3 linked regions of the Rattus norvegicus genome follow. The protein of the gene in region 3 interacts with the protein of the main gene of each other region in a biochemical or structural test. Links are inferred from orthologs where the notes say so. Each region holds a gene or a part of one and is shown on either strand. Other genes may lie near its edges. The genes, in order: Tarbp2, Eif2a and Eif2ak2.

The links.
Region 1: the proteins of Eif2ak2 (region 3) and Tarbp2 form a complex in vitro, tested with the Homo sapiens proteins (2 studies listed by BioGRID, with this or other methods). The link is inferred for Rattus norvegicus from reciprocal best matches to the Homo sapiens genes EIF2AK2 and TARBP2.
Region 2: of the proteins of Eif2ak2 (region 3) and Eif2a, one has a biochemical effect on the other in vitro, tested with the Homo sapiens proteins (4 studies listed by BioGRID, with this or other methods). The link is inferred for Rattus norvegicus from reciprocal best matches to the Homo sapiens genes EIF2AK2 and EIF2A.

What each region holds. Positions count from the first base shown.
Region 1 is NC_086025.1:135,526,302-135,530,633, reverse strand, and holds the start of Tarbp2 (RISC-loading complex subunit TARBP2), read right to left. Parts: upstream 2,925-4,332; 5' UTR 2,822-2,924; coding exon 2,769-2,821; intron 2,249-2,768; coding exon 2,079-2,248; intron 925-2,078; coding exon 822-924; intron 283-821; coding exon 190-282; intron 1-189. UniProt on the Homo sapiens protein: Required for formation of the RNA induced silencing complex (RISC). Component of the RISC loading complex (RLC), also known as the micro-RNA (miRNA) loading complex (miRLC), which is composed of DICER1, AGO2 and TARBP2.
Region 2 is NC_086020.1:144,909,917-144,914,262, forward strand, and holds the start of Eif2a (eukaryotic translation initiation factor 2A), read left to right. Parts: upstream 1-1,443; 5' UTR 1,444-1,459; coding exon 1,460-1,487; intron 1,488-4,346. Other genes in the region: Serp1 (stress-associated endoplasmic reticulum protein 1), read right to left, coding at 471-546, 821-904. UniProt on the Homo sapiens protein: Functions in the early steps of protein synthesis of a small number of specific mRNAs. Acts by directing the binding of methionyl-tRNAi to 40S ribosomal subunits.
Region 3 is NC_086024.1:21,972,098-21,974,973, reverse strand, and holds part of Eif2ak2 (interferon-induced, double-stranded RNA-activated protein kinase), read right to left. Parts: intron 1,397-2,876; coding exon 1,295-1,396; coding exon of another isoform or gene 1,248-1,294; intron 235-1,247; coding exon 178-234; intron 98-177; coding exon 1-97.

The sequences.
Region 1 (4,332 bases), on a different chromosome or scaffold from region 3:
TATGGCTATTTAAACATCATAAATTACTTCCTATCCCAAGCTTACCAACCAGCTGGTGCAAATTTTTCAATTATGCCATTCTCTGTTTACTCTCAAGCTTCCTCATCCTGACCTGCCTGGGTTCAAGGGCTATAAGACTAGAAGCCAAGACCCCTTCCTTCCTCCAAGATGTCAGGGGACTGAAGATACCTGGTTAGTAAAGCAGATGGAACAGGGGCAGCAGCTTCTGCAGCAATGACAGCAGTGTCCTCAGGCACTGAAGAGTCTAGGAGAGAAAAAGAACTTCCCGAGGGGAAGAGGGCCTTGGATTCACACCCACGTAGAAGGGAATGAGGGTGTGAGGTCCTTCTGACCTTTCCATCCCCTGAGAACTCCTTCCCCCTGATGTTGACTCGGAGAGCCTCAACAACAGCTCTTCCTCCTGGGATCCTCTGCTGACCCACACTGGCTCAGAAGCACTGAGGTAGGGGTGGGGAGCTCAGAAAAGAGAGTCTCTTCCTACCCAACAAGCTGCAACCTGAATGTGGAAGAGGGAAACCCATCTTGCTAGAAAGGGGGCATGCCGGGACTAACTTATCAGTCTTAGCCTCCACCCCCTATGCCCTATCTCATGCCCCAGAGCAGCCACCACCCATCAAAGGGGCTGGCTATTACCCTGAGGCATCCTAGAATACCCTATTCAGCTTTAAAGGAAATTCTCAGGAAGGAGCCACGAGAGGGTGGCCGTGAGTCACCAGACCAGGCTTAGGAGAGAAGTAGGTAGTGCAGAGGCCTGGGTTCTCAGCAGGGCTTCTAGTGTGCCTTGGCTGTTCCTCCCTCACCTGCTGTCCTCCAGGGCTGGTTCCAGCATGCTCCCCCCTTTGAGGTGTTTGAGGGCCACCTCAGCTGCCTTGTGCTTGGCTGCCTTCTTGCTGGGGCCCTGACCTAAGAAAAGGGGTGTGGGCAATACTGGAGGTCACCGGCAGGACAGCAGAGAAACCAGCCCCCACAGTCTCTCTCACACAGTCAGAAGGAGTGAACAGTCCTCTGACCAACCTCCCCTGTCAGAACTGGAAAGGCTCTAATCATTGGAATGAATAGCCTTTGTCCTAGTTAGCTTGGCACAGCCTAGGATCATCTAGAAGGAGAGCCTTAACTGAGGAATTGCCTAAATCAGCCTGGCCTGTGGGCATGTCTGGGGGACTGGGTTGACTGCTAATTGATGCAAATATGCCCAGCCTGCTACTGTGGCACCATCCCTAGGCAAGTGGTCCTCAACTCTGCAAGAAACCTAGCAGATAAATAAGCCTGCCAACCAGCATGGGGTATCCACCATTGTTCCTGCTGTGCTCCTATGGCTGTGAAGTGAGTTCCCTGGTCAGAGGTGGCAAGGATGAGTTTATTTTCTTTGGTCTTGACTGATAATGTGAGTTTCTACCTTAGCTTCCCTCGATGATGAATATAACCTGAACTGTAAACCAATCAATCCTTTCCTCCTCTAAACTGCTTTTGGTTAAGGAGCCTTATTACAGCAACATAAATGAGACTTGAACACCCCATCTCTTCCAGTCAGCTCCTGTAATTTAAACCCTGCAGGCAGGAGAACTTCTGAGCTCCAACCCTGGTGGGCTGGGGAGAGATGTTTCACTCTGTCTTTCTTCTTTTCTCTTCCCTCAGTAATGGGAAAGAGACAGCAGAGGGTCTGTTCTAAACTCTGAGCTTTGCTCTACCACACATTAGGCATGTGAACATGAGCCAGCCATGTGATGATCCCTCATACTAAGTTCTTCACATTCAGTGTGAGGCATGAAGGCTGGCAGAGTGTGTGCTTGCTCCCCCTAATCCCCACAAAGAGTACAGTGTCTTCCTCTGAGGTGATAAAGTAGCAGACCCCTGTGATATTTCCAGTTCTCGCCACTGAGTCTCTCAGGTCCTGTCCACCTTCTCACAGCCCTGTTTAATCCAAACGGTGGCTTTCCCCCTGAAATCTCTCCATCCCTCCCTGGCCTTACAGGAGAGGACTGTGAGGTGATTCCATGATATTAAGCCACGGGCCCTGTGAATGCACACCCCAGCCAGGCTGCCCAGGCCTTCCTCACCAGTGCAGCTGGTGTCGCCAACGGTGACCCGGAAGGTGAAATTAGGTTGATGGGCTTGGCCCTCGGCTTTGAGAAGGTCGTACACGGGCGTCTTCCCTATTCTGGTCCCATACTCCTGAAGAAGGCTGATCGGGGTCTTGCCCGGGTTGGCGGCCAGCATTTGCTCTATGCTGGGGAGGGGCACAGACCAACATCACACTTCCCCTTTCGGCACCCACCTGGCCAGTCACTGTCATATTAGACCTAGCCACATTATAGGGTTCATGAGTCCCCAGGCAGTATAGCATCCATCGACTGGGTTAAAAGTTATGATGCAGGAGGGAAAGCAAAGTCCCAAGGCAAGTGGAGAAGGTACTGTTCTCAATTAAGGCGAGGGATCCAGTGCCGTAGTGCTGGTTGGACGTGCATTTCCCCCTGGCACAATGCAATTCGGAAACCCAGTACCCACCAAATACACTGAACGTCGGGGCATAAAGCCCAGGGCTCCAGTGCAGTCTGGGAATCAAGCCAACCCCAAACTAAAGCTGGAGGCTGTGGCCACAGCCCCAGTGCATGCCGGGAACCTCTGCCCACTACCCCAGTGCTTGCTGGGAACAACCCTCAGGCCAGGTGCATGCTGGGGCCGCGCCGCTGCCCCTCCGCACCACCTCACACTTTTCGTCCTGCAGGAATCCAAGCGAGGCAGCTCACCTGGGCAGCCCGCAGCCTGTAGTAGAGCCGGAGCCCTGATCCTCTTCACTCATTCCCTCCTCCGTCCCCGCGGGCGCCACCGTGACTACAGTCTCCACGCACCCCAGTACACCGCCGACGAGCTAGGGCCGGGGCCAAGCCCGGAGTCGCGGCCGGTAGGGCCCGCCGCGGGGCATGCTGGGATCTGGAGTCCCCCGCCCACCCGACTCCTTGTGTCTTCATCAGGATCCGAGCTACCCGCCCCACAACCCTCAGCGAGGCTCGCCCGGGCATCTGCACCGCCCTCTGGGAGGAGCAGACCCTCCGCGGAAGCGTCCCAAGCTACGAGTGGTTTTTGTTTTCTAATATCACCCCGCCTTCCTCCTTGCGCACCGCCTCCTCCCGAGCCGAGACTGTGAGCATGCGTACTGGCCGAGTGTAGGCGGCCGGGGGCGGGGCGGTAAGGGCTGTCTCCCAGAGAGAACTACAGATCCCAGGCGCCCACGTGCCATCCGGACACCACTGCAGGCTTCGCTGCCTCATTGGTTCTACCGAGAGCGACTTTCTCTAGGCGTTTGCAGATTGGTCACTTGGCCCAGAGGGCGGAGACGAGGAAAGGTATAGCCTTCTTCTTGAGGAAAGGCTGTAATTGGCAGAGAGGCTGCTGGCGTAGTCCTTTTGCTGCCCCAGAGGGTGGGCCTCACCTGGCCACCCTCACCCCAGAGCTGTAGGGTTTTGTAAGTCAGAGTTTTCCTCAGAATTGGTCTCTCAGGCTGGAGCATAATTATCTTGGACCCTCAGCCCTCCGCGTCAAAAAAAGGAAAAAAAAAAACCGTTGCTTTTCTGTGGCTTGCTCTTCGCCTCTCTTCACTAACTTCACGCAGCCTGTCAGGGTTTGTGCCTCTTTAGATCGACCCTAGTGAACCTCTCTTTAACTGCCCGAGAATCATTAGGAGGACATTCTGCTGTGTTTAGTATCAGCTGAAAGAGCACAAGAGTAACTAACGAACTAAAATACGCGCAGAGCTGAACGAGTACTTTTGGATTTCCCAAAGCCTTGATAACCACCAGAGTGAAAGAAGTAGGGGGAATCTTGTGACCTTGGACAGAAGGAGAAAGAGATACCACGAAAAACGCGATTCAAATGGGTCTAGGATGAGATGTCTTGCTAAGAAGGGATAGGGTTAGAGGTAAGAGGAATCTGTAAAGATGATAATGAGCGATCGGTCGACCAGGAACACTGAGGTGGGAAGGGACCTACGACTGGGTGGATTCCAATTGGGTGAAAATGGAGCAGCGACGAGGGAAGGCCAACTGGAGATATCGGTATGACAAGGGACCAGTGCCAGAGCGTTGTGTATACTGAGGGGCTGCGCTCTCGAGATATAAGAGTCTGTAAGACAGGTCACAAGGGGTTCCTACAGAATCCGCATGAGGACCAAAGTGGGACTGCCGTAGGACACCTCCAGGAAGGAGGCACAGGGTCGTGGCCCGCCAGGAACCAGCCTGGAGAGCGCCGGATGGCAGCCTCGGGCTCCTTTAAGAGGCCGGCGACTCCAGCGCAGCATCCCCCGCTCAGGGCGTG
Region 2 (4,346 bases), on a different chromosome or scaffold from region 3:
AAGAGCAGGTTGTCTTAAATAACTAATTTTACCTGAAAACACTTGTCTCATACATTAAATTTTTAAACAGGTATGTTTCCTCTACAGAAAAATCAGTTCTTTGTGCTAGTCTTACTTTATATACTTTTTGACATAGAGACCTTGGATGCTGGTACCGTTCAGTCTTGCTTTAGTATCCAGATGTTCACAATGTTCGTTAAGTTATTTTTGATAGTTACAATGCAAATCACTCATGCCAAGAGTTATTTGGTGTTTAATTTCTTCTAAGGGATTATTAGGAAGATATAATCTCTTTTTTGATCTTCTATGAACACAAATCAAGATAAGAGAATTTCTGGGGCACCACACTCTGTGGTACAAGTAATCTGGTTCACTAGAAACAATTCTCAGCAGGTGGGTTGAAAACCACGCGGGTAAGACTCGTCACTCATCCACGTCATTCCAAACCACGAGAGCCCCCAAACACTTACCAGATCCACAAACGACAAAAATGAAGAGGGCCAATAACCAGGGTCCTACCGACGCCTTTTCTTCGGGGGCATTTCTCTGCAAAAAGAAAAACCCAGTTTCAAATGCAGAGAAACCACTCTCGGATCCCGGACTCCCATGGCCTGCACCCCAGGCCAGATGGCCAGACCAGCAACTCACAGATCTCTCCTCCCACCCTAGATTCCACCGCAGCGGGAGTCCGGAGTCAGGCGGGTCTGGAGAGAGCTAGCCGCGGCCATGGCCCCGGCCCCGGCCCCGGCCCCGGCCCCAGCCCCGGCGCGGGCCTCAGCCCCCGGCCCCAGCATGGAGAAGGGTGCCCGCTTTTCCTTACCGAGGTCTTAGCGACGTTGCCGCGCTGAGTTATGTTCTTGCTGTGCTTCTCGTTGGCCATACGGATCCTCTGCTTGGCGACCATCTTCGCGGCGCCACCTGCCCCAAGAACCTCTCGGACTCGCTCGCTTGCCGTTCCCCGGCCACCGGGAGGCTCGGCTCGCGGTGCCTACGCCGCCTACGGCCACTGGGCCGGGACGCCAAGCGCTGGAGCACCGGCAACCTCCGATCACAGCGGTCTGAGCAACCGAGGGGCGGCGCGCCGGAGAAAGAGGGCCGCAGGACCGGGAGGAAAGAGTCCAACCACCCGACAGTGCAGCCGGCAACCTCGAACTAGTTCGGGTTCGGCTGCCAACGTCAGCACTGGGCAGACCCCGCCCCGCGGAAGTATGGACTCCGCCCGCTCCAGAGAAGGAGGGCGAGGGCCGGCCGCCGCTGCAGCCAGGCCCTTCCACGCTCGGGAAAGCGAGGAGCCAGAGCTGCGCGTGCGCACTCGGAAACCGGAAGTGAATTGGCCCCGAGGCTGGCGGCGCCGGAAACACCAACTCGCAGTCACTGTGCTTGGGGAGACGTGTAGAGGCCGGGTTCGGCCTTTATTGAACTCTCACCCCAGCGCATGGGTTTCTCTTTCCGGGACAAGATGGCGCCGTCCACACCGCTGTTGACAGGTGAGTTCCGAAAGCGCGAGAGACTCTTTCTTTACAGTGGTTTCTTTCTGTGTCTTCGTGCTGGAGAATTACTTAGCAGACCTAGGAAGTCTGGCTTGCATTTTCTCCTGGAAGGACCAGACTGTCTTTTGGTTTATTTGACAATAGCACGCCAATGGGAAGTGAATTCTCCGTCTCCAATATTCCCTCCTCCCAGTTATCCATCCGTCGTTCTTCAACTTCTATAGGAATAGACAGGTAACAGAAAGTACGATTTTGATGTGTGACTTCTGGTCTGTAATACTGGTGCTGCTCGGACCCTTCTTAAGTCATCTGCCTATATAATAGAAGAAACGTGACTCCACATCATTTCATCTGAACTTAAGTAATTATGTTACTTAAAAATTATGTACTCCCTATTTTTATGAGGTTTGTGGAACTCGATAGGGAGCAAGGCATTGCTAGTATAAGTTAGATTTCATGATGAAGATTGGCTTAGGGTGGCAAAAGTAAGCAGGATAATGATAGTCTAATGTTTTCAGGTGAAGCAGTTGTGAGAATTGAAGTAGAACAGTAGAAGACTCTGGGAATTTGAAGCTGACACTGATTATGGTGCTTAAAAACAGGGCTGGAGAGATGGCTCAGCGGTTGGGAGCACTGACTGATCTTCCAGAGGTCCTGAGTTCAAATCCCAGCAACCACATGGTGGCTCATAATCATCTATAATGGAATCCAATACCCTCTTCTGATGTGTCTGGCAGCTACGTTATACTCATACATATAAAATAAATAAATAAATCTTTAAAAACAAACAAACAAACAAACAAACAAACTTGGACAACACCGGGAAAGGTGCTATGATATATTATGGTAGGGCTTGGGTGTGTAAGTTTGAATAAACAAAAGAATTCAAATAGAAAAGAATTGGGAAAGAAAAAAAACGTTGATAACAATGTAGGAAGAAAGATAAAATCACTAGGACATAAGTCTTACTTTTGTGAATTGGAAGTTACGTCCTTCTGAGCCATGGCAAAACTGTTATACTTCTTGCCAGTCTAGGAATACACTTTAAGATCCGTGCTTACTCGTGTTCAGTTAGACTACCATAATTTATTCACCAAATATTTATAAAATGCTAGTTATAATCTTCTAAACACTACACCCGACAGATTGCTTTCTTATATTTAGATTTATTTATTTATTTGTGTGTCTGTATCTGAGCATGTACACAAGAGCGCGGGTCTTTTTTTTTTTAAACATGTATTTATTATGTATATATCATACAGCTTTCTGCCTGTATGTATGCCTACAGGCCAGAAGAAGGCACTAGATCTGATTTTAGATGGTTTGAGCCACCATGTGGTTCCTGGGAATTGAACTCAGGACCTCCGAAAGAGCAGACAGTGCTCTTAACCTCTGAGCCATCTCTCCAGCCCAGGAGCACAGGTCTTAAGAGTACCAGAAGAGAGTGTGGGCGTCCCTGGAGCTGGAGTTAGAGTTGTGGGCCTCACCTTAAGTGAGTGCTGAGAACTGAACTTATTTCTTCGGGAAGAAAAGCAAGTACTCTTAATGCTGAGCCATCTCTCCAGCCCTCTGACACTATTTAAATGGCATGATTTTGTAATTAAATCAGTTGTTTCTCTAATTTCATAAAGATAACTTTGTTTAGAGGTTTAATACTAACTGAATATTTAAATTTTACTTTAAAAAGCGATTAAATGTTCTGCCCTTCTGAGGCAGTGTAAAATCCATCCTCTTTAGCCCAGCATATGGATCTCTTACAATCCTAGAACAGCTCTTGACATATTGCATGGGCATCCCGCCTTATTTTGTGTCCCATTAGTACTGAGTTGTCACAGCCCTTTAAGCTATTCTTTGGAATTATCCTATTCTTTCTGTTGACTTGGCACGCTACTTAAAGCAATTTCCCACACTTTCTGGACGGTTGCTTTGTGAGCTATTTTTCACTACTTTTCCACTTATCACGAAGGAAATTCTGTTTGTTCAGCTATTTTCCTTCCCTGATAGACTGTTAAATTCTTGATGTTTGGGGTAAAGTCTTATTCATCTCTACCTTTTCAGCACCTAATGCAGAACCCAGTAAAGGACACTAAACTAATTAACTAATGAAGAGTAGATTGTATTTAATCAAATCAACAGAGTAACAATTTTTCTCACAGGAGTCTAAGTTAAAGTCTTTGTTCTGACACACTCTCATAGTATCATATTCTTAGATACCCAAAGATTACTTGGCCAGATTTACATTACATATTTGCAGTGTCAGGATTATACCCAGATATTTCCATTCCATGGTCTATTATCTACCAGTAGAACACAGTTTACTCTTTCAACCATTCTTAGTTTTAAGTAAAATTTTAAAATCCTAAATCTTGTTTAATGTATATTTCCAAGATTTATAGACCTGTAAGTAATTGTAGCTTAACAGTGAATTTTATTGTTATGACTCTAAGTCAGAAATAAGAAAAGACCAAAACACGTGAAACTTGAGTTTTTAAACACTTGTTTTAAAAAGCTTTAATGTTAATAAATTTAAGTATTCACATAACCAAAAAATACCTATTTTCTCTATTTCCTGATTCTTGCTTTTCTTTTATTAAAGGAGACAGATTTATCCTCAGGCAGATATTCAACCAGCTAAGTGACTCTAAAGAAAAGAACTTTTCTTTATTTGGCCAGCACTCCCAACAGAAATCCCAAATTCTTTCCTTTAGAGAGTGTGTTTTATGTGGGTCTTGTTTTTCCTCTTGTTGCTGTTTTTTCTTATCTCTGTTATTTTGGCATTTACTATCTGCCCTAGGATGAGGTATAGATCTTAAATACAAATTGTGTAGGAAACCCCTTTGGTTGTCTAGAATATCC
Region 3 (2,876 bases):
CCGAGATGTTCTTCCACTCAGCCAAAGTCTTCAGGATTTCAGACGTATTGGGTCGTTCCCTGGGTTTACTTGAGAGTAATTTCTGTAGAAGACTTTTCTGTTAATTAGAGTTAAGAGTCAGTTATCAGGAAAGAAAAGAGTGGGAAAAAATTAAACTGGCTGCTTTCAAGTACTCACTTCCTTGTTGTCGAAAATATCATCGGAGAAGACGCCATTTCTTAGAAGTTGGAAAAACTGGAATACAACGAATAAATGTATTTACTAAGCAGTCGTTTGCATAGGAAGAAAAACTATAAACACAGGAATAGCTGGAGTCACACTAGATTTCTAAAATTTAGGGTGGTTTCCTTAGTCTAAGAAGCAGACAAAATGCCCCTCCCCAAGCCTACCCCAGTCTAGGAGCATCCTCAACAGTCAGTGCTTTGAAGTGCACGAAACTCATCCCTCAGTCCCTCTGTCTCGGAACGCTAGGCAGTACATCCTTCCATCACCTCTACTTTAGGGAAGATAAGGCTCTTGACTCCAGGCAAGCCTTTTTTTTTTTTTTCCTGAGTTTCCAACTAGGATGTCCAATCGCCTGCTGTCTCCAGGGATTCCCCACCATCTACACGACAGAGTCCAAACTCTTTCCAGCCCCACCTGGGGAAATCACCAGCTTCAGATAAGACTACACCGCCCGTTAGTCCCAACACACACTGCTCATTCTGATCTCCGTGCGGGGTAGCATGCTTTTTATTTCAGGTTGTTAGAGTGGATTAACTCTGGTTAGAGGTCTTCTGACTGCTATGAGCATACCAGAGCATGCAAACACATGTTTTGTGTGTATGTATGCATATGCCTTTAAATAACCCCTCCAAAAAACAAACAAAACAAAACAAACAAACAACCTGACCCTTCAGTACCCAGCCTACATGTTTCCATGAAACCTAAATTCAGACTTCTGGAAAGATTTTTCTGTCTTCTAAAAATAGCCATTCTCTGATGTTATCTTTCTTTCCTCTTACAAGATGAATCACTTGAGAAACTGGCTTGCTCCTTTTTATATCCAGGTAGCACTTAGAGCAGAAACTCCCCCCTAATCAGTGAGATTTGGGTTGGCAAACTTGAATGGGAATCCTATGGGCTATGCACATACTCTAAAGAAAGCCAAACTTTTCAATCTAGAGCAAAATGGCTGGCAACACTTGAAAGAGAAGCTAATGTGGTCATACACCCCCTCACCAAACGGCAATAACCGTAGCACTTACGGGTTGTCAATGCTTTCACTTCCTTCATTCATTGTTGGGATATTTACCTCTATTTTCTCTGAATCAGTTTTGCATATGTGAAGAAGTTCAGCTAGAATAAGGCCCAAAGCAAAGATGTCCACTTCCTTTCCATATTCCACTAACGATGACTGAAAGCCAAAAATACATGTGTCTTTGTTACTCATTTAATATAAGCCTCCATGCCTTTTGAGGAAAAAAAATAGCTATAAGTGGTATATTACATTAAAATGGCTTTTGAACATTTGTAGCAGATGTGACCTTGGTCTTCATGGGGGTACCCTATCGATTGGAGCGCCGGCTGTCTCTGACTCCTTAGCCTTGCACTGGCTCCCCTTCCCTTACATGAACTGCTGGGCCTCAGAGGGAGAGGATAGGCCTAGTCCTTCTGGGACTAGATGTCTCAGGGTGGGTGGTGCCCAAGGGAAGCTTCCCCTTTTCTGGGGAGAAGGACAGGGGATAATGGGAGAAGGGATTTGGAAGAGCTGGACTTGGGAGAGGTGTAGGCTATGATCGAGATCTAAAGTGAATCAACATAAATAAATTATTGGGGAAAAAACAAAAAAAAATGCCTATTTATTCTAGATCTCATGAAGTTGAGCACCAAGATTAACCATCACATAGAAATAGAAGGAACACAATAGAGGCTATAAAACAAACCTACAGCTAATTACTTACTAAAGAGCAAAACCAAGAACATTTCCACCAGCACTAAGAGTAAGACAACGGGATGGACTTTCTCCACCCACATTCAATCTACTTCTTGAACTCGTAACCAGACAAGAGAAGATAGAAAAGAAATTCAGACAGGAAAAGAGGCCAAATCCTCATTTGTAAACAATACAATCCTGTACATAAGAGACTCTAAACTTTCTTTTTTTTTTTTTTTTTTTTTTTGTGGTTCTTTTTTTCGGAGCTGGGGACCGAACCCAGGGCCTTGCGCTTCCTAGGCAAGCGCTCTACCACTGAGCTAAATCCCCAGCCCCGACTCTAAACTTTCTAACAAAAACTCCTAACTGACTACAAAGTCAACATCTAAGAATCCTGGTTTAGGACTGGAGAGATCACCCAGGTCTCGACTTTTGCAGAGAACCTGAATTCAATCCCAGCATCTGTACGGTGGTTTGCCTATCTGACTCCAGTTCCAGGGGATCTGACACTCTCTCCTGGCAACTGTGGGTACAAATACATTCAAACAGGCAAGTTCATACACAGGAAATAACTTTTTAAATGAGTAGGTTTTTTTTCTGTTTCATTGATGAATATGCTAAAAGAATCAATTCATCTTATTGACAATAGCTTCCAAAAAATTATACTGTGCCTGGTGGTGCACACCTTTGATCCCAGCACTTGGAAGGCAGAGGCAGGTGGATCTCTGACTTAGAGCCAGCCTGGTCTACAGAGTGAATTCCAGAGCAGCCAGGGCTGCACGGAGAGACCTAGACTTCCTATGCTGGTGAATGAGCAGAATTAAAATATTGAAAAGTATTATAGTGCTAAAGGTGACCTACAAGTTCACTATAAACCCCATCAAAAATCCAATGACATACTTAACAGGAAGAAAAAAAAAATCTTAAAATTCATAGGGAAGAATAAAAGACCCATGGAGAG